Linked DNA regions of Lonchura striata. The protein of the gene in region 1 purifies or fractionates together with the protein of each later gene. This does not show direct contact. Links are inferred from orthologs where the notes say so. Each region holds a gene or a part of one and is shown on either strand. Other genes may lie near its edges.

Region 1 (7,973 bases):
TCCAGCTCATTGAGGAAACGCTGACACTTTCCCATCAGGATCTTGATGGCTTCACTTACCAGCACATCTGGAGGCAAGATACCTGTCGACTCCACTGAAACTGCACAGAGACAGACACAAGTCAGCACAGCCACGAGGCAGCCTCAGCCTCCATGCCCCTGGCTCCATGCTGCTGGCCCTCACCTTCCCTTGCACCTCACAGCAACAAGCCAGATCTTCACAGCCAGACAAGCGGCTCCCTTTGCCAGCAGGAAGCACCAAGAGATTCAATCCCAAAGCAAGTAGTTACTCACTGCGTTCTGAATGTATGGATGCTGAGGGTAGGAAGAGGCACAGAGCCAGCCATGCATGCTGGTCAGTCACTGCTTGCTCACACAAACCATGTCAGGACTCTGTGGAAAACGAGGCACTTACAGATGTAATGGTTCCGTACTCTTGCCAGGCGTACGAGGTTTTTCAGACTCTCATGTCGGAAAACTTCTCTGCTGAATGTGTCCAACCGTGCATTGGCTACTCTTGCCACCTTTTTTCCTAAAGGGAAGATGAAACGAGATGGACAAATTGCAGCAGGTGGATACCTTATGGTCACAACATGTGCTTACCTCAAACAGGCACTCCCTCCTCACCAAAGGCTGGGAGACACCAATAAAAAGAATTAGCATATACCCAACATGAAAGTCTAACCTGGCAGGAAAACCCAAACACAAAGCGTACATGCACCCCAGAAAGATACAAGAAGTCTCCACACTCAGCTGCTTTTCCAGCTCACTACCCAGTGTCACAACTGAACAGCACTGCAAGCTGCAGTCAACAGCTGCAGAGCTCTGCGGACAGGTATCCAATTTATTTCAGGGACATCCGTGTTTGTCACCCAACATGCTGCACATGGCAGCTACTCATCCATAAAAGTAGGCTCGGAAGAACATGAACCATTGATCAGCACAGCAACATTACATGTGGTTTTGTTTCTGCAAAGTTTGGCTCTAAGCTCCAATCTAAAGCTTGCAAGGAACAAGGCAGTTAGCGCAGGAAAAAAGTACCATTGATATTCTGGATCTCAATGACTCCAGGGGAGAAGCACTTCTGCAACATCTCAGCTGCCTCATCCTCAATAGGCTGCAGGAGAGTAATGTCAGGAAGCAGTCGATAACTGGCTGTGGCCACAGGAGAAAACTTGGCATGATCCTTACCTGTATGAAGAGTTAAGAGTCAAGGATGAGAGCAGGCCTCAGGGAACAAGGATGCTCAGGCCTGAAGTTCCAGGGGAAAAGCCAGTTCTCCACCCTTCCCCATCACACTGCAGTGCCCTACTCCAAACATTCCCGCTGCCCCAGGAGCCACGACTCACCTATACCCTTGACACAGTGCATAAGCACATCTATTTCCTGTCCAGGTCGCAACAGTGCAATGAGGATGTCATCATGAACAGGTCGGAAGTCAGCATCTGGGAAAAGGTCTGTCTGATTCCCCAGGGGCACCCATGTCATGTGTTTACTGTACACTGCAAAGAGAAGCCACAAGCATCAGCCAGCTGCTGTATAGGACTGGAGATAGCAAAAAGAAAGTTTAGCAGAATGGAATCAACTCTCCCTGTGAGCACACAGGGCTGAGAAAACAGCCCAAAACCAAAAAGAAAAAACAGCACCTATTTTTAGGAGCAATCTCACCTTTATGATTGAAATATAGTTCATCAGGATCAGATGATTCCTTGGCAGCCTGAGGGTTTCGTTTGCATTTGATTTTCAGCTGAAACTGCAGAGTATCAATTTCAGTGCCTTCCTGATCTCCTGGGAAGAAGCATATGAAATCACACTTCTGCTCAGTTTACACAACCCTGATTTCCTACTTTGAGAGAAACCTTCAATATTTCTATTCTGTTCAAGATTCTCACCTTGGTTTCTGTACTCAAAGAGCCTAGGGTCAGCTCGGATAGGGATGAGGCCCAACCGATGAGCCAGAATTTCATCCTGCACAATGGATGTGTTGTTGTACACAAACACCTTCTCTACAGCCATCGTTGGCACCTCAAGGAGACAAGAGATCAAGTCAGCTTAAGACAATAGTTGAACTACATGCCAAGAGATTATGCAGCTCAAGTGTCCCTCCTCTCCCACAAATAACTGCCAAGCAGACTATTTTGAGTGGTATTTCTACCAAATCAGGCTATGCAATATACCCGTACACCACATCTATTCCTATCCCCGTCTTTTTAAACAATCAAGAGATGAAGGACAGGAAAAAGGGCTTTGGGGCATCCTGAACCTGTTAGTACTTGGCAGCATCATGTGGCTTCTGTTGGGTTGGCCACGCAGCTGTGTTGAAATGGCTGACCCGCAGACACTACCAAAGCACCCCTAGGACCAGCAGGCGCTATTGCCCATGCTGCTAAAGTCCTAATTCTCTTTGGGCTCCTGGCACCCATGCGGAACGAACGTGTGCTTCTCTTCCAAAGCCCGCAGCTGTCCGCAAGGGCTGACAATGCTGGACATTCCACGCTCCCTGTCAAGCCAGGCTTAGGCCGGCACCACCAGGTGAGCAGAGGTACCTCGGCGAGCAGGATGCGGCGGAAGGCGTTGGCGATGGCGGCGTCGATGCCCACCATGTCGAACTCCAGGGCGTCCTCTTCCTCACGGATCACGTCCACGCGGAACGCCTGTGGGAGCCGCGCACCGCGGGTCAGCCGGCTGCAGGGCCCCGTACCCACGGGCAGCCCCGGCCCGGCGCCGCTCACCCACCTCCTCGAAGCGCCGCTGGTCCCAGGCGTCCTCGTAGCCGGGGTAGTTCCCGGGGAAGTCGGTGGTGTGGACCTGCGGGGAGAGGGCAAGGCGGGGCGGTGAGGGGGTGAGGGGGTGCGGGCGCCGGCCGCCCCGCCCCGTCCCGCCCGCCGGGCTCGCTCACGTTGCGCACGCCGAACTCGCCCAGCACCACGCGGTCCCGCATCTCGTCCGTGCCCCGCCGCGCCGCCATGAGCGCGATGGGCGGCGCTGCTGGCGGTGCTGCTGCGCCGGGAGGCTCCGTCACATCCGCTCCCGCCCATCCGGGCCAGCGCGGCGGGGCCGGGAGCGGCGCCATGGCCGCGCCGGGGGCGGCGGGCGGCGGCAGGAGCGGCGCCCCCGCCGCCGAATGGGGCGGCTTCGAGGACAACATGCAGGTGGGGCCGGGCCGGGGGCGGCGGGGCCGGGCCGGGCCGAGGGGGTGCTGACACCGAGTCTGCCCCGGCGCAGGGTGGTGGCTCCGCTGTCATCGACATGGAGAACATGGACGACACGTCGGGCTCCAGCTTCGAGGACATGGGGGAGATGCACCAGCGCATGAAGGAGGAGGAGGAGGAGGCGGAGGGCGAGGCGGGCGCCGGCGAGGAGGAGGAGGACGGGGAGTTCCTGGGCATGAAGGGGCTGCGGGGGCAGCTGGGCCGGCAGGTCGCTGACCAGGTGAGCGCTGTCCCCCGTCAGCCTCCGGCCCCGGGTCCTGCCTGCCCGCCCGGCCGCTGCCCGCTCCTTCTCTCCGCAGATGTGGCAGGTGGGGAAGAGACAAGCCTCCAGGGCCTTCAGCCTCTACGCCAACATCGACATCCTCCGGCCCTACTTCGATGTGGAGCCCGTCCAAGTGCGAGCCAGGTGGGCTGCGGGGAGGCAGCGGCTCCGAGCCCGCAGCAGTCTGGCTGCCAGGCCCGAGCGAGCGCCAGTTGCCCCCGCAGGAACGCTCACCTATGGGCAGACACATCGTGCCTTGTCCTGCCCGCCTTAGCGAGGTGCTGTGCTTGGGCTGGCAGCCCTGTCACCTGGCATTGCTGCTGAGTGTAGGAGAAGGGACTCTTTTTGTACTTGGCTGCCCTATGTGGCTTCTGTTGGGTTTGCAACACAGCTGTGTCCAACGAAGCAAAGTTTTGTGAGACTTTATGAGGAAACTTGCCTTTCCTTCCTGCTCTTCTGTCAATGATCTCTCATCCCTGAGTGGATCCCTAAATATTTTCATTAAATCTGCCCCTCCTCAGCAAAGTTAACCCACTTGACAGGAAGGTTTTCGTTCTTTAGTGACCTTGACTCACCCTTTAGAAAGAATCCACTGTCCCTCAAAGGCTGTCAACACAATAGCAAACACTGGTAATGGGTATATGGTGTCTTTTACTTATGAAGTATTTTGTTAATTCTCCTGTTGTTCTCGCTGCTCCTGTTGTCATTCCCTGCTTTCCTGTGATGCAGACTGCTGGAGTCCATGATTCCTGTGAAGATGATTAATTTCCCACAGGTGAGTTCCCTTTTGCTGAATCAGACTCCATGGCCAAGTGACTGTCCCACAGACACCTTGTAAAACTTGTAATAATCCATGTTATTAAGGACTAAGTTTGTTAGATGTTCTTCTTCCTGAAAATGTTGGTGGCTCCTTCCCATGGTTGTTCCAAACCTCAGCGTGCTGTCACCTAACCTCAGGTGATAACCTGGGTGCTAAACTTCATCCAGTGCACTTTTCACATCACCTGTGGTGGGAACCCTGATATTCTGGGGCTCTAACCAAACTTTCCCTCACCTGTCTCCTCCTGTAGAAGATTGCAGGCGAGCTGTATGGACCCCTCATGCTGGTTTTCACACTGGTGGCCATTCTTTTGCATGGAATGAAGACCTCAGACACCATCATTGTACGTCGAGTTTCAGTGATAAGTGGTGGTTTGACTGGGCTCTGGGTTGCCATGACACTAGAAAAGGAGAGGAAACCTCTTCTATAACTGAATAAGCATCTTGCTGAAATGAAGATTGATTTGAGGATGTTGGTTTGGAGGTGGGAAGAAGGATGTACCAGAAAGTTTTGACACTATGCTGCTGGAAGAGCTTGGGGTGTAGGTCCTGTGGCCCCTTGAATGCTGCTGGGCAGCTGTTTAATAATGCCTACAAAGTGTCGGGACTCCCATGGGTTAATTTGGGTACTGGCAGGTCACTTCTTTGAGTTCTCCTCATCCTGACACTGTCTCCACAGAGGGAAGGCACGTTGATGGGCACAGCCATTGGCACCTGCTTCGGTTACTGGCTGGGTGTCTCATCTTTCATGTATTTCCTGGCATATCTGTGCAATGCCCAAATCACAATGGTGCAGATGCTGTCACTATTGGTATGTACTCATGGAGCTGCCCTATGATGCACACTGGCTGCATGGTGTTCCAGAATAAGTTTTTCCCAAAAAACAGGCAAAGTCTTTTTGTAAACTGCTGGTCCCAGGTAACTGCACTGGGACAACCTGGAATTCTGGGATGTTCTTCTGACCTGCACCATCCCAGGCACAACAATAGTACAAAGAGGCAGTTCGTTATGCAGGTCTCCTGCTTTGAACTTGCTGATTTGAGAACCTGGTGGTAAAAAGCCAGGAAACTCCAGTTTCTCTGGGATTGGAGGATATTTCCTCTGTTTCCCATGTTGTCACAATCTCTGACATGCCTGTGAATCCTTTAGATTATCTGTGTGTGAGCTGCTGTTGAAGTTGTTGTTCTGGTTGACTGTTCGGCAGTGAATGAGTGGTTTGTGAGGCTTTGCTGTGGTGAAGTGTTGCAAGAATAGGCGGTTTGTGCTCTTGATCAATGGCCCTTTGTGTGGGACCGGTGCTTCTAACATGGACATTTTTGTTTTGTCAGGGCTACGGTCTTTTCGGACACTGCATCACTCTCTTTGTCACCTATAATATTCACTTCCACTCCCTCTTCTATATCTTCTGGTTGGTTGTTGGTGGACTCTCTACACTACGGATGGTAAGGGATAAGCAGCCTGGGGTCTTTCTGGGACAAAAAAAGGGACGGAAGTGTTTGCTTTCTGTTCCTTGGCCTGGTGGTTCATTTCACAGCCAGACGAACTGCTCTGGAGAAAATGATGCTCCTGAATAATTTGGCCACTGCTATATGGAAGTGCTATTTGGATTAATATCCTCACCCATTCTAAGAGCTGCAGGAGGTTTATTTACTCCCTTACAGCTCTTGCTGCTGTGGAGAGCCATGCCTGAGCATCCTGAACTCTTGGCAAGACTGGGCAATGTTCACCTATACAAAACAGTGTCAAATTTCTCCAAATTTGTTGGTGAAAACTGCAAAAAAGACTTAGTGTGGTGTTCCTGCAGATTCTCACTGCCTGACCTGTTCTTCCATGTGTTTCTGACTGCAGTGCCAGCGGCTCAGGTAGCAGGTGCCCTGCCTCTGATCACCTCCTCTCTCTTAGGTTGCTGTGTTGGTTTCACGCACCGTGGGACATACCCAGCGGCTCATCCTGTGTGGGACTCTTGCTGCTCTGCATATGCTTTTCCTCCTCTATCTGCACTTTGCTTATCACAAGGTGGTAGAAGGTAAGCAAGGGAGATACAAAGATATCTTGTTAGATCTGGGGGAAGAGAAGTTGTTTTTTCTCTCTCTGAGAGAGAGGATGGACAGTTTGAATCTGTCCTTTTGGGCATCTGTGCCAGTTTCCAACTCTAAAATCACTATCACTAGCTTTTTAGAAGAAGCTGTTCAAGTAGGGCAGCAGGTAAACATTGGGGTAGTTGCTGTGCACTGAGTTTTAGCACTTAAGACCCAATTTGTGAGGCAGGATCGTAATTATTTCTCCACAAGTGAAGTGTAACAGCACTGACTCTTCTTGCATGCAGATGTCCAGCCCCTTCCTGAATATTGTTGAAGTCAGGTTGGTTTTCTCTGATCAGGAAATGTATCATACGTTTTTACTTCTTTGTTGAACATATTATTGTATCTTGTGTTGTATAGCACAGATAGCAGAAGCTATATCTTCCCCAGCTGGTACTGTTAACCAGGCCATGGATTTTCATGTCCTCCTTCTATCTCTTCTTCTTTTCTCCTAACAAAATTTCAACTTCCTTAAAAAAAAACCAAACAAAACCAGAACTCTTCTCCTACCCCATCTCTAGAGAGTTTCCAGATCCCTAAATATGCAATTCTGCAAGTGTCTATTATGAGTTTAGGCAGCCAGTTTAGGCAGTGTTTGTGATATTTTTGATAAATCTGCGTAATTAGCATAATATCATTACAAGTCCTTTTGGATATAAATCCTGTCCTTCCTGAATCTGTTTTTATGGCAAAGGTTCTGACCTGTAGCTTTCTGGCAGATAAAATAGAATAAAATATACTCCAGGCAATTTTCCTCAAAGCACTCCAAAACTGATTATCAATCTTGAGAGGGTAATTGACAGAGAATTGAGGACATTTGCATTGGTCTGTGTATTTCCTGCCAAGCATGGTCTGTTTGCATTGCAGTGACAAAAATTCCACATTGCAGCACAGCTGCAGTTCCTGATGTGAGTCTGCAAGTGTATTTCAGGATAAAAGAAAGTCTTGGTCTAAGAGTGAGATCTGTGCTGGAATGAAGTAGAAACAGGATTTTATCAATTTCCCTCAGCAGGGCAACATCTCTGGCAGTACCTGCATTCAGGTCAAATGTCAGGGACTGGGTCTGACACCCTCAAAGTAAAAGGATCTGTGTACTTTTTGGGAGCATGTAGCTTTCATGCCCCTAGCACAAGTTCTGATGTGTACAGGCCCTGCCACCCTCAACCACTACCTGGACAGAGAGAAGAGCAAAAACAAATGTGCTATCTGCTATCATCTGAATTAATTCTTGCTTTTCTCCCCTTTTTTCTGTTCTCCAGGTATCCTGGACACATTGGAAGGACCCAACATGCCGCCCTTTCAGAGAGTTGCCCGAGACATTCCAGCTGTTTCCAATGCTGTATTGAACACAACAGCCAAAGCCATTGCATTGACCCTCTAGTTTTACAGACTTGGACTTGCTTCCTTCACTACTTTTGGGGCTGCATAGGGCCACAGTAACCTGCTGCCTGTTAGGAACAGGACAGAACAGCAAGAAGACAACTTGGTTTTGTTTTCCTGGACCTGTCCTCTGCATTGCGGTTTTGGGCAGTTGAGTGGACTCAGTGGAAGTGAGTCACACCTCAGTGACTCAGAAGAGCTGCACTCTTCCCCCATCCAG
Region 2 (7,659 bases), on another chromosome or scaffold:
TCCATGTTACATCTACAACAATGGCATTTTTTTCAAATACTCAAGCCACCACACAATTTAGGCAGCTCAGTATATTTCAGTTGACATACAGGCTTCTCAAATATCACACTAATGTACACATAGGTATCTAAGAAACCTTTCAAAGAGGCTAGACATTCTGGATGCAAGTGTTATTAACATCCATTCAGGCTTATAGTGTTTCTGCCATTCCACCAAGAAATATAATTCCGTATTTTTCACTTACAGACTCTCTGCTACCAAAAAAGTGCCCCTCCCAATACTGAGCTGGCATTTTCCATTTCTTTATGCACCAGCATGTCCCAGGGTCTTTGTACCATACATATGTATTTAAAAATTTATGCCTCAGTATTTCAGATTCCTATCTGAAGTAATGTTGTAGAAATGCAAAACACCTTCACAGCAAAAAGCCAGTACCTTAACCACAGGCTGGACTGTGAGCAAAACCATGAGTATGTGATATCTGACTGATATCAGTGTTTTTCTGTGATCAGGCACCCAGTTCCTCCCAGAAAGACACATTAATATGTTTTAAAGAAATAAGGTTAGTCAGTTCCTTTTTTGCTTTCCCCACTCACGTCCCCAGGTGGCCCAACACCTGACAGCTCTGCAGACATGGAACAACTGCAGCTTGCACTCAGCTCAGAGCTGATGGTGGGAGGATGCCCAAGATGTGTGAGGACATGTGGCAACACCCAAAAGGTGGGACACTTGGGTCCAAACCCTCCTTCCTCACACCCCTGAGAGAACCAAGAACCACCCTTCCCTTCCTGACAGCCTGCATGCCAAGTATCTGCTAGGCTTGTTCTTTTCTGAGCAAGTTATTTCACTTCCAAGAAGAGAAAACCCTCCTGGGCTAACAGGGACAGAGAAACTCAGCCTGAAGAACCTGGTCTCTGGCCCCTCACTGAACACTGCCTATGCAATTATACACAAAATCTCCTTGGGAATCCACCTGTCACTGCTCAGGGGAAATGCTGCATTACAAAAACTACTTTTTTTTTTCTTAGTCCTGTAAAGATAAAGCATGACTACAGATACTTTTACTGGAAAATGAGACTGACACATCTATAAATAGGAAGCAGTGTGTCCCAGTACAACTTATAATACTCATGCAACCAGAAGAAATCCTCTGAATCAGAATGAAGGCATGCAGACACAATGTCTGATATATACATACATAGTGTTAATTTCCACACTTCTCATATACATATATTTACGATACCACAAGAGTTACATAATGGAATCAAACATTAAGAGACAGCAAAAATGGTCAGCAGGTTTTGGTAGAACCTTCTTGTTTTAAGGACTTTCCTTTAAGGTGCAAATCAAAGTATAATGTGAGTTATCAACTAGCAGGAGGGCAAGAGATAGAAATCTTCTCATTTCTCCTGCAAAGTGACTAATGCAAGGACCAATCCATGATACTGCTCTTTAGCTGCCAATAACACCATCAACATAGAGCCATTGAAGAAAAATTTTGTGGTTAAAAAAACTGTAAAAATGAGTGATGAAGCAACTGAATCCTACATCTCCCTCTGAGCTTTGAAGGGCATTTGAGTATTAGAGATTTAATTTTATTTACTACCAAAGACTTAAATGTAACTGCAAGAAGGTAAATTGCAAACCTGCACATCATTTGACACACATACTTTTAGTCAGGCCTGCAAGAAATGCTCCAGTATTTCATTTTTACCTAAATTTGTCAGTAATAATAGACCCCCAAAGTGCTAACACTAAAACCTGATATATTCTTCATATAATCATGCAGTGACAAAGAAAGGCCAACAACTCCTTCTGGATCAGTGCCTGAAAGTATAAATGCTGAAACGGCAGCGTGGGAAAAATGCCATTTCCTGAATCAGTACCACAACTACCTCTGGCACCCGGGCTCCTCTAGAAGGGGCTCTGAGCAACTCTCTAGCTCAGGGTGGCCCATGGCGCACAGTAAAATGGAATCTGCAAAAAGAAGCTAAAGCACCTTCCATACATTTATGGCAATTATCATTTTGACCCAATTACTTGCTTCATTTTCTCCTCGCCTGCAAGCAGCTTTGCACAGTCATCTTCTGGCAGTGAACCCAAGAGGGCTCCTCTGCACCAGGACCTCTCTCTGGAGGTGATGTCACCGAAGCAAACCTTTGGGGTTTAAGAGATTATGCACCAAGCACAAACCTTTCTTCAGCACCTCACCCCGTGTGCAGCACGGGACGTGCCAGGCCGGGGCTGCCGGGGGCAGGGGTCACTCCCGCCGCGGTGGGACGCTCCCGGGGCAGGTCGCGGTGCCCGAGCCGTGCTCCCCGCGGGCAGCGCTCCCGCCGGCCGCCCCTGGCGCCCGCCCCCTCCTGACACAGCAGCGGGGCAGGGCAGGGGGAAAGGGGAAAGGGGAAAGGGGAAAGGCCACAGCGGCCGCCCGAGCCGCCCGGACCGCGGGGACGCAGCGGATCCCCCCGGGCAGGACGGCTGGGCTGGGCTGCGGCCCCGCAGCGCCGGTGCCACGCAGGGGCAGGCGCTGCACTTCGGGGCGAGTGCGCCGAGTCCTGCCCGGGGAAGGGGCTGCGGGCCCGGCAGGACCGGCGGGGCCGCCGCTCGCAGCCCCCAGAGGAACGGCCGGCAACCCCCGGTGCTGCCGCGGCAGGCGAGGGGCCGCGGCTGCGGCCGGACCCGGCCCGGCCCCCAAGCGCCCCGGCCCGAGCCAGGTCCTGTCAGGGCGCTGCGGCCCCGCGGTGCCGGGTCCTCGCAGTGTCGGCTCCGCCGTCCTCCCCGGACAGGCAGAGCCCACCCCAGCCCAGGCCGCGCTCCTCCCTCGCCACCACCCGCAGGGTCCCCGGCGCCGGGGCGGCCCCGGGAGGCGCAAAAGCAGCGCGGCCCCGCGTACCTGTGTGCGGGCCGGGCGGCGGCGGCGGCGCCGCTCCCCCGCTCCCCGTGTCGGTGGGGCAGCGGTCAGGCAGCCGCCATGTTGGTGGCCCGCGGGCCGGCACGTGGGGACGCGGCGCCTCCTCCTACCCACAATGCTCTCCCGGCCGCCGCTGCCGCCAGGGGGCGATGGCGGCGGCCCGCGGCGCAAAAAGGAACCCGGGCTGGCAGCGGTGGGATTCGAACCCACGCCCCCGAAGAGACTGGAGCCTTAATCCAGCGCCTTAGACCGCTCGGCCACGCTACCGCCACGAGCATGCTGCCTTTTGGCAATGCTTTTACTGCACACCGGTTTGTCCCCGTCTTTCCCACCCTTCTCCTTCCCCAACAACCGCTCTGCCTACACACCCCCTCTACCCGGAAAATAAAATGCGGGGGGGTCCTTTTCAGCCCGTTCCCAAGCAGCGGCACTTGGAGCTGCGCGATGCACCCGAGCCCTCCGCGCCGCGCCCGCTGCCACGTGGATGCCACGGAGCAGCACAGCCGCCTGCGCCGTACGTGTGGCACCGCCCGGGCACCCCCTCTGAAAGCCTAAAAAAAGTTCTAAATTCTAATTGTCCGTTGCAAAGTCAGAGCTCCCTGAATTCGCAAAGTCAAAAGTCAGCAGTTTATGCCTGGGGGGTTGTTCTTTTGCGTATAGCACAGGGACCAGCACGGCAGTACTCAGTACACCTGTGCAAATGCATGGTAGCACACCTCAGCTGCTGGTGCTCCATGCACGTGCCTCTGGAAGTCTCTGGTCGCATTTTGCCTGAAAGTCTGGTGAGTTTTCGTAAAGAATTAATCTTTTTTTTCACCACTTAATTACAACTGAAGGGTTGTATTTTGAGGAAGAACTCCAGCTTCTCTATGGTAAGGCCACAAAGCCTTAATGCAGCTTGATTTAATTCTGTCCTTGTGGCAGTTCATTTAAATAGGATAGAGAAAATAAACCTGCGGGAGCCCTGCTGACAGCATCATTCAACCCTTTCCCCTGGCACCTCCCACAGCCTGTCCCTGCAGCACCCGGTGGTGCCAGCTCTCTTTCCAGGGAGCTGCTGAAATGGAAGCAGGGAATGGTTTTGTTGGGGTTGGAAGTGTCTAAAAAATGTCTGATAGTCCATCCACTAAAGTGAAAAGGGACATCTTCAACCAGATCAGGTAGCTCAGAGCCCTGTCCAACCTGACCTTGAATGTTTACAGGGATAAGGCATCCACCACCTCTCAGAGCAACCTGTGCCAGGCTTTTAGCACTCTCATTGTGAGAGGCTGAAGCACGGCACAGTCTTGCTAAAAAATTCAATTCACTGCCTACAAGTATTGAGGAATAACAGCATACACATGTAAACATGAATAAACTCCTCTAGTGCTGCTGAAGTTTCACACCCTCAGTTCAGTGCCTTTTCAGGATGTGCGGCTTTTTAAGAACAGAGCAGCAGGAGAGGTTCAGGGAGGAGAGAAGGCAGGCAGACCTGAACTGGCTTCACACAACAAATCACCTGTAACCTGCTCAAGAGAAAAGTTTTGGCAAAGAGTCAGTTTTAACAGTCTTCAAGCCTGTGTGTGTGTGCAGGAGGCTGCGTAGCACACTCATTACAAACTGTTCCTTACTGTGTGGGATGCTCAGTCCCACAGGCCCTTTTGCCCAGGCAGTGCAGGGAACTAACACCCTCCTGAAAAGTGCTTTTCTGCCCTGAGCTCAGCCTCTGTCCCTGAAGTGTTTCTGTGCCTGGCCACAGAGACATTTCTCCTGAGCACCAAAGGAAGCCTGTGTACCCAAGATTATTCACATCAGCCACGTGGGAAACAGGGGCTAAGAGCACAGGCTGTCCCTCGGGGGTGGCAGCTGGGTCACCAGTTTTTTCATTTCACCTGTGCAACATCAGTTATAATGGCAGAATCATTTCCAAATTAAAAAATAATTAACGTGAGGAGAACTCAAAATATAGGACAAGCCTCATTACTTTGTTTTCTGGCACAGGATAGCCAAGGACTAGCAAGGACCCACATATACTGGAGTATGTCAGACTCCCAGACTAAAGGCAAGGCCCAATAGCTACAAAGCCCTGAGCTGTCCCCACACAGGAGTTAAGTCCATCAGCAGGAGCAACTGAGAGATATCCCTGAACTTAAACCTGAAAATACCCTGACTCACCCCTGGCAGCATTGCCCTGCATCCGTCCTGAGAGGGTCAAATGAAATTCTGCCTCTCCAAATTCAGATGAGAAGTCCTGACTTGACCCATCGTAACTACACCTGGCTCTGTCAGCACTCATTCTACTCTGAGTGAAATTTTATCTGTGGGGAAGAGAACGAGATTCAAATCAGTCCCACAGACCAGTAATTAAGAAAAAGCCAATATACTTATTTACACTTTATAAGCTGTAAGAGTTTGCTGTCTCCATGGTTTCTGAAGAATGCTATTCTTACTTTGTTACATTTGCCAAACACTCCATCTCTGTGACAGCAGCTATATCTAAAAACTCCAAAGGCCTATAAAGCTAGAGCAGTGCCAAATTTCACCATTTTTCATCTTAGTGATTTCCACAATGCAGAGGCCCACATGGTGCTTTTTTGTTAGGAAATTCTGCTATTTCACAGTGCCCTTTCTAGAAGATAATTTCACATTGTTTAAACTACACAGGTATAAGAAGTTCCACCTGTCTAAATAAAGCAGTAAAAAGGCAACACTAAGAGCTCCATTTTTAACAGTTTGAAAGAGCCTGTTTCAAACAGGCAAGATGACAGTGTATCATTAGATATTGTATCCCACCTGAAATCATAGAGCCCAAGAATTTCCAGCCTATTCTCAGGACTAAACAAAAGCTAAAAGGATAGGGAGGCCTCCGTAGCACCCTGGACATGAGCTTTCCTGTCTTTATATTTTATCCTCCATTGGCTACAGACATATGTAATTACGTGTGTAATCAAATGTAAATCAGAGAGCACATCAACCATTTTGTTTTCTGGTGGAAAACAGATAATTTCCTCCCAGTTAGTTACTTCTGACTGTTAAAAGGGAATAAGGGAATGAAATTGGGAATAGAATAATACAAACAACAGAGAGGATTTCTGGAAGCTTGCAATAGTAGGATTGAATTTTGGCAATTTATAAAGAAAAAAAAAACAACCCAAAAGCAAATACCCACAAGCAATGAGTAACACTCTACTGAGAAAAAGTGACAAAAAGAACAATTTTATTTACTAGCCAGAATGAACCCAGACAAAGTGAATGAGAGTACTAAGTGATGCAGGCAAGAAGTATTTGCTTGTCTGACATACAAAGTCTTCCATCTCACTGTCCTTACCCAAGAAATATTCTGGCAACGCTGAGCCCAGGTAAGTCCTGGCAGGCTGAGCCTCAGATTTATTTTCACATTTTTAAAAAATACAGATTTTTATTTATTCATTGTGAATAGATTAAAAATACAGCGTAAAGCAATATAATTACAAAAAGTCTTTAAAATATACAGTTTTTTCCCTTCAAAAGAATGTCACAGACTAAGTTGCGTATATTTCTGTAAACAATTTCCATTTTCATATTATTGACAGTCCCATTTATTGTATGGCTAAATCATCTGATACATCTTAGGACAGAAGGTAGTCTTCATCACCAAAAAGTAGTATTTGCAAATAAAAAATTAATTAATTTTGCACTGAGTTGTGTGCACATTTACATACCAGATCTACACTGAGCTGTCAGCAACTTCAGCAACTACTGAATTTAGCAAATTAAACTACACCAAGAAGTGTCAATAATTACACTCTACATCCTTTGCATGCACATTTTGGACACTTTCAATCTCCTCCCTAAATGGTTAGTGGTGTGGTAACACATGCTTCCTTCTCAAGGAAAATCTTAAAGATTTGGCATCACCACCTTTTGAGGGAAGCACATCAGGGAAATCCTTCTGTCTGATTTATAGTCCCTCCACTGTATAGGTTCTGCACAAAACAGACTATTCAATTGTCTTCACCTTTCATTGACAGCTGACACCTTAATGCTATGAACTGAAATAGCAAAACAGGCCACATTCCTAGAGAGGCTTTAGGCATCTAAAGCAGAATTTTGGATAGGCACTGAAAAGATTAATATTAATTGCAGTCCTCTGGTTCTATTTCAGCATGTACAAAAAATATTAGGTCCAAAAATCTGGTCGTTTTAGTACCTCACTACCTAAGACCAGCTGAGATCTAGAAATGAGACATTCCTCCATTAATGGGTGAAGAGCTTTGCCCTCACTCTCAAAACGAAACAAAAAAGAAAGAGGCCATGGACACTACTTTCCCACAACCCCTGCTATCTACAGCAAAAAGATGTTGCCATGTGTTGCAAGGCTGCTCACCGCTACAACTGCCTGGTGGTTACAGCACCAGCCAGAAGCAGGACATCCGAGGGTAACTTTCCCTTCCCTCCTAGAAAAGATTCAAATTCTCCCTTAACCACTAGGAGTTCACCTCTTTCAGACAGTGGCAGATGTTACTGACACCACCCTTGGATAAATGTCTAAACAGCAAGTCAAGATCCACTTGCCATAAAAAAGAGAAAATGGGAGCATAATTTGATTCCAGTGACAGGCACTTGGACAGGAAGGGAAGAACCGATTTCTGTTCCCTAAACAGTTTCTGCATTTTACAAGAAATTAATATTCCTTGGCTATGCATGCAAGAAATCCTGATCAATCCTGCATCATCTCATGGCCTGCTTAGCTTTACACCTGCTTTTAAGAGCTTGGCTGAAGTGGT
Region 3 (7,454 bases), on another chromosome or scaffold:
GTGAAACACCCTGTGCACCCAGGGAACACAGACCCCAAATCCAACACCCTGAGCACCAGGGAACACAAACCCCAAATCCAACACCCTGTGCACCCAGGGAAATCCAACACCCTGTGCACCCAGGGAACACAAACCCCAAATCCAACACCCTGTGCACCAGGGAACACAAACCCCAAACCCACCTGCACAAGGCAGAAACACAAACTGAAACTCCCTGTGCACCCAGGGAACACAAACCCCAAACCCCAAATCCATCTGCACAAACAGAAACACACACTGAAACCTATGCACCCAGGGAACACAAACCCCAAACCCACCTGCACAAGGCAGGAACACACACTGAACACAAACCCTGCTGCTCCTCCCACACTTTAAACTCCTCCTGTGGCAGGACCCGCAGGTGCAGGGTGCGCTGCTCTGCGAGGGGCAGGAGGTCACTGGGCTGGTGACCAGCCTGCAATAACCAGGTAAACCAAGAAAATGAGGAAAATGCTCCTGAGCCAGGCAATGCTCATGCTGCCTCCTGGACACTGGGAAAATGCTGGCCCTGCACAGGTTCACCCTACAGGACAGCAAACCTCCCAGGCTGCAGACAAGCCCCTCACAGCTGGACAGTCACAGCAGAGCAGGACACAGCTCCAACCTTACCTTCTCCCTGTAGGATTTCTTCTGATACTCCTTTGTGTCGTCAGGTATCATGTTATCTACAAAACAGCAAGAGTCAGTTTGCTTGCACAGAAGAAGCAGGACAGGAATTCCTTTGGCTCTGTGACCGACAGACTGGGCACAGGACCTGCTCCATGTCCCCTGGCTCAGTAAAGGACATGACAAATATGAGAACCTAGGAAAAAAGGCTTCTTCTTCAAAGCCTTACATGCAATATATGGACTATGGCCCAGCCCACGTCCTGCTGCTCAGGGTAAAAATCAGCCACAATAGATGTGACCCTTTGGGCAATGACAAAAAGCAGCCCTGCTGGATAAAACCTGTGGGTTTTTGGTTTTATTTTGTTATTCAGGGGTGCAATTCCTGCTGAGGGTCAGGCTCCCTCAGCAGAAGGCTCCCAGAGAAGGCAGCACCTGAGCAGTGAGGCTCTGTGAGTGCCTCCCCGCCTGTAGAGTCCCTGCTGAGCCCCCAGCCGTGCTCCCCCTCCCAGGCTGTGCAGGAGCTGTCCCTGTCCCTGCCATGGGCACCAGGACACAGCCCCGGGCTGCCAGCACCTCCCACCTGAGAGCAGGGGCTGCATGTTGAATATTTCAGCATTGTAGACCTCCATCTGCCCAGAGCTCCTGTCCAGCACGCCAACAAAGTACCTGGGGAGAACAGGGCACTGATCAGCGAGAGGCAGAGAGCAGAAATCATTTCAATGTCATGGTTGTCTCACAGCCCAGCAGCTCTCCTGCCTTGCACACACAGCACTACAATAAGCCAAGGCTCCTCCATGGCATGTGTGCACACAACAACAGAAGAACTGATACTCTAAGTAAGTGCAGAAGTCCTAAAAACAACTGAATTCGGTACAGTGTAGGTGCCAGAATTCTGCTTTTTTCTCTTAAAGTGTAGGTGCCAACATTCTGCTGTTTCCTTTTCCCTTTCTTTTTGCTAGGCAGGACTCGATGGCCATAGCTTGAACAACAGCTGAATTTCCAAATTTCCTCCCAGAGCTCATGATCCTCAGAGCTGCAGGCAAGCAGCCCAGCAGCCCCCAGACCACTGGCTCACCAGTGTGAGGCCCGTGTGCTGCTTTGCTAGCCCCAGCAGTGCTCTGCTAGCCCCGAGCAGTGCTCTGCTAGCCCCGAGCAGTGCTAGCAGTGCTCTGCTAGCCCCGAGCAGTGCTCTGCTATCCCTGAGCAGTGCTCTGCTATCCCCGAGCAGTGCTCTGCTATCCCTGAGCAGTGCTCTGCTATCCCCGAGCAGTGCTCTGCTATCCCTGAGCAGTGCTCTGCTAGCCCCCCCCAGTGCTCTGCTATCCCCGAGCAGTGCTCTGCTAACCCCGAGCAGTGCTCTGCTATCCCTGAGCAGTGCTCTGCTATCCCCCCCCAGTGCTCTGCTAGCCCCACCCAGTGCTCTGCTATCCCCGAGCACTGCTCTGCTAGCCCCACCCAGTGCTCTGCTATCCCTGAGCAGTGCTCTGCTAGCCCCACCCAGTGCTCTGCTAGCCCCCCCCCAGTGCTCTGCTATCCCCGAGCACTGCTCTGCTAGCCCCACCCAGTGCTCTGCTAGCCCCCCCCCAGTGCTCTGCTATCCCCGAGCAGTGCTCTGCTAGCCCCACCCAGTGCTCTGCTAGCCCCCAGCGGTGCTCTGCTAGCACCATGTGCTGCTCTGCTAGCCCCCAGCGGTGCTCTGCTAGCCCCCAGCAGTGCTCTGCTAGCCCCGTGCTCCTCACCTGCACAGGGAGCTGCACTTCGTCCCGTCGGTGCCGAAGTTGTGCCCCACGTAGCAGAGCCGCTCCGTCTCCGAGACCTGGGAAAGTGGGAGAGACCCCTGGAGAGGGCTGAGGGACACCAGGAGAGCTCCTGGGGAACCCAGAGACACCAGGATGGTTCACACCCCCCGCTCTGAGCCCGTTATCCGCCCCTGCCCCGCCGTGTGCCACTCCCGCTCCATCCCGCACCCCGGTACTCCGGTACCGCGGGTGCCGGGCGCTTACCAGGATCCTGTGGTGCTTCTTCCGCGGGTGCGTCGCCTCCCGGTGCCGGTACGCGGCGAAGCGCAGCGAGTCGGGCCGCTCCAGCCGGCCGTTGGCGAACCGCACTAAGGGAGAGGAAAGCCCGTGAGGCGTGGGGCCGCCGCCACCCCCGGGGCCGCTGCCACTCCCGGGACCCGCCGCTACTCGCGGGGCCGCTCACCGAGCGCCGCCGGCAGCTCCGGCTCGGGGTCCCCGCGGTAGCGCCAGATGGCGGTGGCGGTGGCCATGGTGAGGGCTGGGCCTGGCTGGGCCGGGCTGGGCCGGGGACGCCGCTCGGTGCCGGTGCCGATGCCGCTCCTCCGCCTCTTCCGCTGGTGCTTCCGGTCGCGGCAATAAGCCCAGTCCCCATTGGGTGAGGTGAGGCTCCACCGCCGCCTGGAAGTAACGGGGCCGCCGGTTGGCTGCCGGCGCGGCGCGCGCCGCCCGCGGCCGGAAGTGACGTAGGGTGTCGGCGCGGCGGGGCGGGAGCGGGGCCGGGGCCGAGCCCAGGCCCGATCCCGATCCCGGTCCCGATCCCGAGCCTCGCACCGCCCGTCCCGCACCGCCCTTCCCGCACGGACACCGCAGGTGAGCGCGGCGGCGGGGGGCGGACACCGCGGAGCCCAGCGCCGGGCGACACCGTGGCTCTCCGGTGTCCCCGGTGCGGCCGTGCGCGGCACGGAGCGCAGTGCCCGCTGCGCGGTCCCCGCTGCTGGTGCAGCGCGGCGGGGCAGGTGCTCCTCTGGGAGGGGCACGCATGCTGGCTGGTCCCGGTGGTGCGTAAGGGAAAAACGGGGAAATAACGGGGAGAAAACGGGGGAATGGGGCAGTGTCTCGGGAAGAGCAGCTCCCGGCAGGAGAACCCAGTCATCGCAGGTCGGGTGACGTTCCGGACTCTCAGAGGCTCTAAATCACTTCATTTTCCCGTGCTGAACAGTGCAGGTGATGCCAGGTGAACGATCTGCCGTTGTGACTCCCTCCGAGGACACGCTGGGATTCCGGGGAGAGCCCCCGGCCAGCACCGGCAGCGGTGGCAGGGAGCAGAGAGCAGCAAACAGCTCCGTGTTTGAGGACGGACCTTGCTGTGCACCCTCCTCAAAGTGTGATCCCGGCCGTGTGCCCTTTCTTTCAGGCTGCACTGGGGTCTGGCTGTGTTGTGCTCTTTCCTTCAGGCTGCTCTGGGGTCTGGCTGTGTTGGGCCCTTCTGGCTGTGCTGGGCTCTGGCTGCATTGTGCCCTTTCCTTCTGGCTGTGCTGGGGTCCCGTGCCCGTCAGTGCTGCTGCAGAATAATGTGAGCTCAGGAACTGCTGTGTGTGTGCCTGGGGAGTGCTCACCGAGCCTTACACGGCACGGGGAGAAATGGAGATACTCTGAGGGTCACCTCCGTGGTCCTGAGGTTGATCTGCAGGACAGGTCTGATGTTAGGTGGTGAGGACTGGGGAGAAGCCAGCCCCGGCTGCTGGCTGCTTGGCTGGCTGGGCAGTGCCGTGTTTTTCTGGGGAAGGTTGCCCAGGTGTGCTAGCAGTGTGTCAGAGGGACAGCAGGTCGTTTCGATCAGTTTCACCAACCAGAAGCGACTGTTTCACAGTAGGTGTGGGTGTGAGGAGACCCACGCAGTCTGGGCTCCAGCACAGCTGCCTGTGTGTGGCTGGTGCTGAGCTCAGGCTCGTGGTGTTGTCACTGCTCCTTCTTGTCCTCCCGACCTGCCTTTGGTGCTGTGCCCATGTGCTGGTGGGACACTCAGGGCTGTTTGTCTGTCTGTCTGTCAGCTGTCAGCTCTTGTCCTAGCTGCCAGGTTGGCTGCAGCCCGGCCAGGAGTTCAGCCGTAGGATCACACAGCAGCTTGGCTTGGGAGGGCACCTTGTCTTCTTCCACCCCAGCCAGGGCAGGGACACCTCCCACTGTCCCAGCTGCTCCAGTCCCAGTGTCCAGCCTGGCCTGGGCACTGCCAGGGATCCAGGGGCAGCCACAACTGTGCCAGGGCCTGCCCACCCTGCCAGGGAACAGTTCCATCTTGTGCTGCTGTTTTTCAGTTTGAACCCAGTCCCTGTTCTCCTTCACTGCAGACTCCCATGAATAGTCTTGTAGCCCCTTCAGGCCTGGAAGGCCGTGGTGAGGCCGCCCTGCAGGCTGCACAATCCCAGTTCAGCCATGCTCTGCTTGCAGCAGAGCTGCTCCCCCGGCCAGCCCGGCGGCCCACACAGCGGTTCTCTTGTGTTTTTGCAGGACCATGGATTTCCCTGGGCACTTTGAGCAGGTCTTCCAGCAGCTGAACTACCAGCGGCTGCACGGGCAGCTGTGCGACTGCGTGATCGTGGTGGGCAACCGGCACTTCAAGGCGCACCGCTCGGTGCTGGCCGCCTGCAGCACGCACTTCCGCGCGCTCTTCACCGTGGCCGAGGGCGACCAGAGCATGAACATGATCCAGCTGGACAGCGAGGTGGTGACGGCCGAGGCCTTCGCCGCGCTCATCGACATGATGTACACGTCCACGCTGATGCTGGGCGAGAGCAACGTGATGGACGTGCTGCTGGCCGCCTCGCACCTGCACCTCAACTCGGTGGTCAAGGCCTGCAAGCACTACCTGACGACGCGGACGCTGCCGCTGTCGCCGCCCAGCGAGCCCGCGCAGGAGCAGAGCGCGCGGCTGCAGCGCTCCTTCATGCTGCAGCAGCTGGGGCTCAGCATCGTCAGCTCGGCGCTGGGCTCCTCGCAGGGCGCCGAGGAGCCGCCCGGCGCGCTGGGCGCGGCGCTGCGCGGCGGGCTGGAGCAGCGCGCCGCCTTCCCCATGCGCCGCCTGCACAAGCGCAAGCAGTCCTCCGAGGAGCGCGCCCGCCAGCGCGTCCGCCCCGCCATGGACGAGCCCGTGGCCGACGTGGCCGCTGAGAGCGGGCAGCCCAGCGTGCACTCCCGGGAGGATTTCTTCTCTCCGGACTCGCTCAAGATCGTGGACAACTCCAAGGCCGACGCGGTTGCCGATAACCAGGAGGACAACACGATCATGTTCGACCAGTCCTTCGGCGCTCAGGAGGACGCCCAGGTGCCCAGCCAGTCGGACAATGGTGAGGGGAACATCTCCCAGATGTCTATGGCGTCCCAGGCCACGCAGGTGGAGACCAGCTACGACCAGGAGGCTGCTGCTGAGAAGAGCAACTTCCCGTGCGAAAACCCCGAGGTCAGTCTGAACGAGAAGGAGCACATGAGGGTGGTGGTGAAGTCTGAGCCCCTGAGCTCCCCGGAGCCCCAGGACGAGGTGAGCGATGTCACCTCGCAGGCGGAGGGCAGCGAGTCGGTGGAGGTGGAAGGAGGAGTGGTGAGCGCAGAGAAGATCGAGCTGAGTCCCGAGAGCAGCGACCGCAGCTTCTCGGACCCGCAGTCCAGCACCGACAGGGTGGGGGACATCCACATCATGGAGGTGTCCAACAACCTGGAACACAAGTCTTCTTTCAGCATTTCCAACTTTCTGAATAAAAGCAGGGGAAGTGGCTTTGGCGCCAGCCAAAGCAACGACGACAACATTCCCAACACCACCAGCGACTGCAGGATGGACAGTGACGCCCCTTACCTGATGAGCCCGGAGTCGGGGCCCGCCGGCAGCCACTCGTCCGCCGCCGTGTCGCACGTGGAGAACCCGTTCAGTGAGCCCACAGACTCCCACTTCGTGCGGCCCATGCAGGATGTGATGGGTCTGCCATGCGTGCAGAGCTCCGGCTACCGAGCGGCGGAGCAGTTCGGCATGGATTTCCCACGCTCCGGCCTGGGCCTGCACTCGCTGTCTCGGGCCATGATGGGTTCTGTGAGAGGCGGAGCCGGTGGCTTCCCCGGCTACCGCCGCATCGCCCCCAAGATGCCCGTGGTGACCTCGGTGCGGAGCTCGCAGCTGCAGGAGAGCTCCTCGGGGTCGCAGCTGATGATGAACGGCGGCAGTTCCTTCGAGGGCGGGCACCTGTCGCAGCCAGGCCCGCCGCAGCTGACGCGCGCCTCCGCTGACGTGCTGTCCAAGTGCAAGAAGGCCCTGTCGGAGCACAACGTGCTGGTGGTGGAGGGTGCGCGCAAGTACGCCTGCAAGATCTGCTGCAAGACCTTCCTGACGCTGACGGACTGCAAGAAGCACATCCGCGTGCACACGGGGGAGAAGCCCTACGCCTGCCTCAAGTGCGGCAAGCGCTTCAGCCAGTCCAGCCACCTCTACAAACACTCCAAGACCACCTGCCTTAGGTGGCAGAGCAGCAACCTGCCCAGCAGTTTGCTGTGAGCCCGGCAGGCAGGCGGGCGGGCGCACACCGGCGTGCCACGGTGCCAAACATAGTCTTGGCTCTGCCATTGGGGATATCCGGTACCTACCTCGCGGGTGTCGCCGCCGGGAGCCGCGCGGCGGGATGGGGATGCGACCCCCACGGCCAAGAGCCCCTTTGCAGGGCAGAGGGGCGACAGCACGGGGGTCTCCTGAAATAGCACGGTTTGAGAACAAGAAACTGACGTGCGCTTTCCTTTCTTTTTGTCTTCTCTCTAAAGCGTTTTGTAACAGTGGAAGCATTTAAATGATTACTGTAACATGAGTTGCTGCATTACCTGAGGATGGAGCTGCAGACCCCTTACCTTTCAAAGAGGAAAACAGCTTAGGCTGCACCTGTCTGACATAATGCTTTAAAATACGCTACTTACGACGATAGTTCTAGGATTATGAATGTATGTTTGGCTGTTTTGTAGTAAAGGACACTGTGTAATCAAGGTGCTTAAATTAAATCCCACACAAATAACTTTCGGACTGCCAGGTGTACATATA
Region 4 (7,756 bases), on another chromosome or scaffold:
GGGCCGGCCCCGCTCGGGTCCCCCCCGTGTCCCCCGTGTCCCTTCCCAGCCCTGCGCTGCGGCTCGGGGGCAGGGGGTGCTTTGGACAGGGCGGCTTGGGAGGGATGCTCGAGTGATGCTTCTCACCCGGCGTAGCTCCTGCGCTGCGGACAGGTCGGGAATATCCTTGGAATGCCTTGCTGGGGATATCGCATCTCTCTGTGTCACACCCCTCCAACGAGCAATCTTCAATATAAACAGAGCTGATCCAGTGCTCTGTGCCCACTGCCACCCAGCAAACAGAAAAAAACAGATGGGAGCCTCTTGTTCTTTCCCATCTCTGCACGGATGAAAGTGTTCACCCCATCTGGAAAGATGCTGCAGCTCCAAATTTGGGGCTTCTCTGCTGTCCCCAGGTTGTGGGGCCACCTGAGAACCTCGGGCAGTGGCTGTGGGGCTTGGAGTTATGGCAATAACCTCTATCCTAAACTCATCACACCCTAAATATCGTGGAATGAAGTGACTGATGGAAAGGACGAGAGACCTTTTCAAGTAGCAAAGCTGTGGCTCTGCATAAATTTCTCATTAACTCCTCAGACAGAGCATTTACTGCAGCCCCTCCACAGATAGTTGAATATTTTGCTACTTTCTCCAAGTGAGCTCCTGCAGTGCAATATTTTTCCATGTACATTGTCCAAACCCCTCACAGAGTTTAGGAAACATATTCCAGCTTTCTCATCCACGGTTTTTGTTGTATTTTCCTCACTTAAACTGACCCTCTTGTTTGTTTTCTACTGTTCTCTCAGTTCTACAACTTATCCCCTTTTCCTTTTTCCACTGGGAAACTGAAACAGTTCTCGATTCTTTTGCAGTCCTATTCCTTCCTCTTGTGAAATCCCTCGCTTTTACCACCTTTCTTGTCTTTTCCACCTTTTCAAAATGTCCTTTCCTTACTCTGGGCTTTGACAGGAGATCGCCAATATGCTGTGAAAACATTAAGCACTGGGTTTATAACTAGAGTGAGTGGGTGTAAATAAGATTTTGCTAGCCTGTGTCTGATATTACATGTGACAGGGGATATTCCATCCACATGGGATCTGTCAGCAATGCCACTGTGGATTTAGCAAACTTCCCAGGGATTAGTTGGTTTGGAGTGCTCTGCACAGCTCCTGCCCCAGTGTGTATCTAGGAAATGATGAATTCTCTCTTTATTGTTAGATCAAACAGGCAATAATTATGTTTTCTGTATAACAAGCAATGTAGGATGTAGATTAATATATTCATAATGAGTGTGGAATTAAAACAAAATAAAAGCAGAATTCCTCAACTTAAAAATGAACATTGAAGAAATAGGATTTCTTAAGGATGCTTAGAGTTGGAGAGTTGAACTTTGTTGAAGGGAAAACAGTAAAATAGCAATGCAAAATATACTTTCTAATGCAAACTGAATTGTATTCTCATTACTGTCTTCTCCATTTGCTCTGTTTTGGATGTCTCTCCACTTCCCATCACTGCCTCTCAGTGATTTATTTGAAACAGAAAGATTAACCTCAAAATCCCCATCCCACAGTTAATACTGGGGAGGTTCTGAAGGAAAAGTCTCTCTCTTATTTTCCTTTCTGGCACAGGGCATGGCAAATCATTCCTACCTCAATATTCCCAGCTTCACCCTTTTCAAGGTGAAAATAAGTACTGGAGGGTAAATTGCCAATTCTGCAGAACAGAGAAGTTTAATTAAATATATTTGGATGTTCTCAAATATCTGAACTTTATTTGTACTTCTATAGTCCATCAGTCTCTCTCTACTATTTCACTTTTTTTGCTGAAAGAGTGCAATGCTGAAGGAGTGCAGCTCCAAAGGAGCTTTGGTGACTCTGGAAATCCACTTTTCACAACAGGACTGTGAAGGAAAAGGATAGCTGAAACAGCTACAGTGCACCTTCTTTTAAAAACATTATTTTTTTCAGCTGTCTTTTGCTTTGGAGAAAGAAAACAGCTCCATGGGCTGAACGTGCCATGCAAACGCACTGTCAGCTCACCTGACACGGAGCCCTGCTGACATATTTTTGTTCAAAAAAACCCTACCTTTGTTTTTAACTCATTTTTCAATGAAAAAAGGAAAAAAAAAAAAAAGGTGGAAAAAAAAAGAAAAAAATAGAAACCGTAGGGTGCTGAGCAAAATGCTGAACGCAGTAAACATCTTTCATGACAAAGAACACAAATACCCTGCAGATCTGCTGGCAATAGCAAGTCCTGGGCCCCCTGCTTTCAACAGTTAATACTGAGGCCCCTCTCTGCCCAAGCCTTGCTGGTAACAATCACAATGTTAAAATGTTGACATGCTAAGCACATTTGGGAAAAAAACCCATGTCTGCATTCCCTATGGATGGTGTAGCATCACTGTCTAACACCTAAAGAGCAGCAATTAAAACCAAAGTGACCTTCTCACCTCACCCCCTGCCCCGCTGGTTCTCTCTTGATATTCCCTTTCATGATGGAGCTGAGCCATATTTGTATTTACAGCCTGCCAGGCTTCCTGTCTCCGCTGGGAAATGTTTAGGAAGTCTCTATTAGGGAAAAAAAAATGCTGTTGGAAGAGGTGTCGTGCTCCCTCATCCCCAGGTGGGTTGTAAAATGCAGCACTGATTGGAAAAATGTGTCAGGAAAGTGAAATTTTGGGGAAGGGGTGGAAAGAAATGTGTCAGGAAATCAAAATTTTGGGGGAGGGGTGGAAAAAACATGTCAGGAAAGCAAAATTTTGAGGAAAAGGTGGAAAAAACGTGTCAGGAAAGTGAAATTTTGTGGAATGGATGGGAAAAACATGTCAGGAAAGTGAAATTTTGGGGAAAGGGAGGAAAAAACATGTCAGGAAAGCAAAAATTTGAGGAAAAGGGTGGAAAAACATGTCAGGAAAGGAAAATTTTGAGGAAAAGGTGGAAAAAATGTGTCAGGAAAGCGAAATTTTGGTGAAAGCGTGGAAAAAACATGTCAGAAAAGTGAAATTTTGGGGAAAGGGAGGAAAAAACATGTCAGGAAAGTGAATTTCTTGGGGAAATGCAGAAAAATGTGTCAGGAAAGGGAAATTTTGTGGAAAGGGTGGGAAAAACATGTTAGGAAAATGAAATTTTGGGAAAAGGGAGGAAAAAATATGTGAGGAAAGCAAAATTTTGAGGAAAAGGTGGAAAAATGAGTCAGGGAAGTGAAATTTTGACAAAAAGGTAGGAAAAATGTCAGGAAAGTGAAATTTTGAGGCAAATGTAGAAAAAAACATGTCAGGAAAGTGAAATTTTGAGGAAAAGGTGGAAATAAATACAATAATTTGCTGCTGGGGGAGAGATGTAAAGAGATGTAAAGGACACTTAAGATAATTGTGCTGAAGGTTCTGAACCTTTAGCTGCAGAGGGTGGTGAGAGGCAGACAAGGATTGACAGATTTCTGGAATGAAACCCTGAAATTTGATTGTCTGGAAATACAGTATTTTCACATGAAACCTGCCATCTTTTCCCTTCTTTCAGGCAGCTGCACGTGGAGGGTTTGGGACATGGCAGAGCAGCCACAGAATTTTTACTGTGCCAGTTTTGGCCAACTTACAAGGCCAGTTAATCCTGACATGAAAAAGGGCATCATCCATCACATCCTGTGCTCTGAATCACACAGCAGCTCTCAGACTTCTCTCCTGGCTCTTTTTTTATTCCACAGGACTCCACAATAAGTTATTTTGAAATATAAATAAATTTCTATCCGTGTGTGGTGGGGCGCACATGCCCACCAAAACTTTTTTTTAGGCGTTTTCAAATTAAAAGGGCTGAAAAGCCTTTGCAGTTGGCTTTTAAATTTTGTCCAGCACTTTTATATTTGGTGATGGAAATTCCTGGAAAACTGGGAGCTGCTCCTTTCCAGCTGTCCTGGCACTGCAGACTGTTCCTAAAGCACCACAGTTTGCTCGTGTTACTCTGAATTAGTTTAGGATTTGCAATACCCCAAGGAGAGGAAAAGCCTTAATTTTGTCTGGTTTAGTCGTGGAGAAAACAGTGGCTGGTGGGTTTTGTGCTGGAATTGCAAGGCAGAGGTTGCAGGCACAAGGTTGACTCATTCAGTTCCCTAAATCCCTAAAAGTCCCTTAAATCCCAGCTGCAAGCAAGCAAATACATCTGTATGACACTCCTTAGGGAGTTAGAGGTGCTGCATCTGGATATAAAATTTTCCCTGAGAGATAATATCAAAATTAAGGAATTCTATTTCCCTGGCCAGGTAATTTTCCTTGCGGTTTCCATCAGGATTTTTAGCTGTTTGCACTCATTGAAATGAAGATGGTTTTACTGAGGATGAAAAGAGCTCTTGGAAAATTTAACAGCACATGGTTTAGACGGGAAAGAGTCACGGTGACAGCTGGGGAAGGAACGGTGCTGATAAATTGGATGGATGCATCGAAAAACAACAGGAGTATTGCAAAAACACTTCAGCCCTGCAGCACATGGCTAAAGATTTGATTAAAAATATTTTCGCGTTACTGTTTTGCCTTGGTCACAGTTAACAGCGGCTAATTGCCAATTTGAGTAATTTCGGAGACAAATGACAATTTTCTGACTGATGTATGCACAAAGGCCGTGATAAAAAGTCGTCTCTCATCGCCGGCATTGGTGGTTCAGTGGTAGAATTCTCGCCTGCCACGCGGGAGGCCCGGGTTCGATTCCCGGCCAATGCAGCTGATATTTTCCGGTTTTTCTTGTTTTATTTATTTATTTCTTTTAAGTTCCTTATTTCTCCTTCCGCTTCCGTGTCGGCCGCCAAATCCTCCTTCAGCTCCACGGGGCCTCGGCCGGCTGCTCCCCCGCCGTGCCCCGCCGGGCTGCGGCTGCCCCGGGGGAGCGGGAGGATCCTCGGGGAGGCCGCGCCGGGAGGACGAGATGGAGGTGTAAGGACCGGCCTGAGGGGGGCACGGGGGAGGACAAATGGAGGTGTAAGGACCGGCCTGAGGGGGGCACGGGGGAGGACAAATGGAGGTGTAAGGACCGGCCTGAGGGGGGCACGGGGGAGGACAAATGGAGGTGTAAGGACCGGCCTGAGGGGGGCACGGGGGAGGACAAATGGAGCTGTAAGGAAGGGTGTGAGGGGAGGACAGCGGGGCTGCGGGGCACCTCAGTGGGGTTTGTGTGGGGAAAAATCTCCGTGCGGCTGCATCTCCATGGGAGTGGGGTGTGTGTGGGCACATCTGTATGATTTATTAAAAAATCTGGATATTGATCTAGTACCGATGTCCAGCTGTGATGGACAAACACTCTCTAACAGTTTAAAGTTAGACAGTGTGTGTTTATTGTGTGCGGGATTGCTCCCAGATACACACCGCAGCTTCCAAGTGATTACAGCGCCCTTTTATCCGTATTGAATACCCAAAATACAAATCCATATTAATCATTTTGGTACATCCCATTCCTCACTTCCTATGCTAATAATTTCAAAAGCCATTCAGCATGCTTGGTTTGTTCCTTGAAATGGGTCGGTGTCCCTTCCATGGGGAGGGGTCCCAAAACGAGGAAGTAAATGAAGTCTTCATCTTCCTCGTTCTGACCTTTCTACCTTTTCAATGCAAATATGACAAATTAACTCTTGGTGGAACTCCCATTCCTTGTCTTCAATTGGTTTCAGAACAGAGTGGGCCGCAATTGTCTTATGTTCCTAAAAGCTATTTGTCAATTTATATTCTTCATTATAAACCAGCTAACTAAACATTGTGCTGACAAGCAATCAATTATTAACTACTAACTCTTTAACTTCTACTAATCTATTTAATTAACTCTAGTAAGGCTTATCTCTAACTAAAATCTTAGCTCCTCTAAAATCTCTAAATTCCTTAAAATTTACATTTCAAATCCGTGAGGGGTGTGAGGGTACTGTGAATCTGTGATGTGAAAAACACCAATCACTTGGTTTTTAAAATTTTGAAAGTTTAATAATAATAAAATGGTTATAAAAATAGTAATATAATTAGAGTAATAAAATTTAGAGTTAGGACAATTACAAGGCAATAAAAAGCAAAGAATTACAGACGTCCAGATGCTCTTGGACGCTAAGTCATGAAAAGCATCCCTTGTGAAGAAAGGAATAACCTTAAAAGCAACAGCCTGATGCATATTCATATATCTCATACATGAGATACATAAATTCTTCGTAAATTAAAACTTTTTGGTTTTGTCAACTTCTTCTCCTTAATCCTGTTGGTTCCACAAAGATGGAGAGAAGGTGGAAGAATTTTTGTCTTTTCTGATAAGGAGGCTGTAACTTTTTATGGGCCCCCTTCGCTGACATCTCTGTGTGATGAGTTTATTGATTATCTGATCTTCCTGCTTGAGATTGTAACAAATCCTATATCACAGAGTTTCTATTTTAACATTATGTTGTAAGCTAAAACTACATTTAGCACACTACTTAAGAGAATTAATACAGCATAACTTTCTAACATTACACATATAATATTCATTTGCAGAAAGCCAATCATAAAATATGCATTTTTCACACGTGAGGGATGTGAGGGTACAGCTCCCAGCAATAAGTTCAGGTGTTCTGCTCAATGTCAGAGGGGTTTATTTTATTAAAACTCCTGCTGGACAAGCTGTTGGGGTGAAAGGTGGTGTGGCTCAGCCTGGCTCGCTCTTTTCGCCTCCTGTCTCCTCCCTCTGCCCTGCAAGAGGCAAAATGAGATTTTTTCATTATTCCCATGAGCTTTGTGTAGGAGCTGGAAATGCTGGAGAAGGATAAAACCTGCGGGGTTTGTGCCAGCCACTGCAAGCACAATAAGAGAGTCAGAATTTTGGCTGGTGGCTCTTTCAGGCCTTCTTACTGTGTGTTTCAGGTACAAAGCAATAGGATTTGACCTGTTTTGACACTTAAAATCTCACGAGTTCTGTGGAGCTGGTTAAATTTCTAGTTTTCATTTAATTTTAATTTCTCTAATGGGTGGGGGCATTAATGGGATGTGTCTCCCAAAATCACTGAGCTTCTGCAGCCCTGTAGTCCAGGGATGCTTTATTATCATGAAATCTTCTCTACTGTGAACATGAAAATCAAAATTTGATAAAAAATATGAAACATCTGCTGAAGTACAGTGAAGTGCAGTCTTAATGTGAGTAGCAGCCGGCAGAGAAATGATCTGTTCTGGCTGTTGTACACTAAGAAAAATGCTTTTACCATTTATAAAAAAATCTGTGATGCTTCTTACACATCCACTGAGTTTTTATTAATCTTCTTTTGCCTCCTGCCTGATTTGGAAGGGAAGCTTTGCAATTCTCTAAGTTCTTACTGTGGATTTTTCTTACCAGAATTATTCTGTATTTCTTACCAGAATTATCTGTTATTAGAGAAAAGAACTCTCAGAAAACAGTGTGGTTTAAATATACAACACATGTGAAACAGCAGACTTAAAATATGGATGTCAGTGATTTTTGTAAAGATGTGATGCCCTTTACCAAGGTATTTTTTGATATATTCAGCCCTACTCAAGAGTATTTTGGTTTAGGCTAAAATTTGGGCAAATACGAGCTCTTTAAAGACTCTAAAAAGTGTTTATATTTTTGCTGTTACCATGAAAATTTTCACCTTTCTGCTTAAGTCTTAATCACATAAAAATTAAGCAAAGTGTTGAGCTGACTGCTTAAAAATAGACATTAGAATCCATTACTCAGATTTCTTTGTTTCCTGACTGTAAAATTGGGAGCTGCGAGTCAGGACAGAAGGAAATTTCATTTCTATTGCAAATGCTGATCAATTTATAATTTTGGCA

Evidence for each region.
Region 2: the proteins of POLR1C (region 1) and POLR3E purify together in Homo sapiens (affinity purification with mass spectrometry; 5 studies listed by BioGRID and IntAct, counting the BioPlex papers as one, with this or other methods). This does not show direct contact. The link is inferred for Lonchura striata from reciprocal best matches to the Homo sapiens genes POLR1C and POLR3E.
Region 3: the proteins of POLR1C (region 1) and POLR1E purify together in Homo sapiens (affinity purification with mass spectrometry; 5 studies listed by BioGRID and IntAct, counting the BioPlex papers as one, with this or other methods). This does not show direct contact. The link is inferred for Lonchura striata from reciprocal best matches to the Homo sapiens genes POLR1C and POLR1E.
Region 4: the proteins of POLR1C (region 1) and CRCP purify together in Homo sapiens (affinity purification with mass spectrometry; 5 studies listed by BioGRID and IntAct, counting the BioPlex papers as one, with this or other methods). This does not show direct contact. The link is inferred for Lonchura striata from reciprocal best matches to the Homo sapiens genes POLR1C and CRCP.

What each region holds. Positions count from the first base shown.
Region 1 is NC_134605.1:36,008,578-36,016,550, reverse strand, and holds the start of POLR1C (DNA-directed RNA polymerases I and III subunit RPAC1), read right to left. Parts: upstream 3,006-7,973; 5' UTR 2,968-3,005; coding exon 2,899-2,967; intron 2,808-2,898; coding exon 2,736-2,807; intron 2,654-2,735; coding exon 2,546-2,653; intron 2,025-2,545; coding exon 1,892-2,024; intron 1,788-1,891; coding exon 1,668-1,787; intron 1,502-1,667; coding exon 1,349-1,501; intron 1,191-1,348; coding exon 1,041-1,190; intron 532-1,040; coding exon 415-531; intron 101-414; coding exon 1-100. Other genes in the region: protein YIPF3, read left to right, coding at 3,071-3,151, 3,225-3,431, 3,511-3,617, 4,203-4,248, 4,544-4,636, 4,972-5,103, 5,621-5,734, 6,195-6,318 and 1 more. UniProt on the Homo sapiens protein: DNA-dependent RNA polymerase catalyzes the transcription of DNA into RNA using the four ribonucleoside triphosphates as substrates.
Region 2 is NC_134618.1:10,694,225-10,701,883, reverse strand, and holds the start of POLR3E (DNA-directed RNA polymerase III subunit RPC5), read right to left. Parts: upstream 3,009-7,659; 5' UTR 2,897-3,008; intron 1-2,896. UniProt on the Homo sapiens protein: DNA-dependent RNA polymerase catalyzes the transcription of DNA into RNA using the four ribonucleoside triphosphates as substrates.
Region 3 is NC_134642.1:86,297,288-86,304,741, forward strand, and holds the start of POLR1E (DNA-directed RNA polymerase I subunit RPA49), read right to left. Parts: upstream 3,009-7,454; 5' UTR 2,917-3,008; coding exon 2,850-2,916; intron 2,755-2,849; coding exon 2,651-2,754; intron 2,464-2,650; coding exon 2,387-2,463; intron 1,314-2,386; coding exon 1,228-1,313; intron 705-1,227; coding exon 649-704; intron 1-648. Other genes in the region: ZBTB5 (zinc finger and BTB domain-containing protein 5), read left to right, coding at 4,899-6,923. UniProt on the Homo sapiens protein: Component of RNA polymerase I (Pol I), a DNA-dependent RNA polymerase which synthesizes ribosomal RNA precursors using the four ribonucleoside triphosphates as substrates.
Region 4 is NC_134622.1:6,502,153-6,509,908, forward strand, and holds the start of CRCP (DNA-directed RNA polymerase III subunit RPC9), read left to right. Parts: upstream 1-4,748; 5' UTR 4,749-4,886; coding exon 4,887-4,894; intron 4,895-7,756. UniProt on the Homo sapiens protein: DNA-dependent RNA polymerase catalyzes the transcription of DNA into RNA using the four ribonucleoside triphosphates as substrates.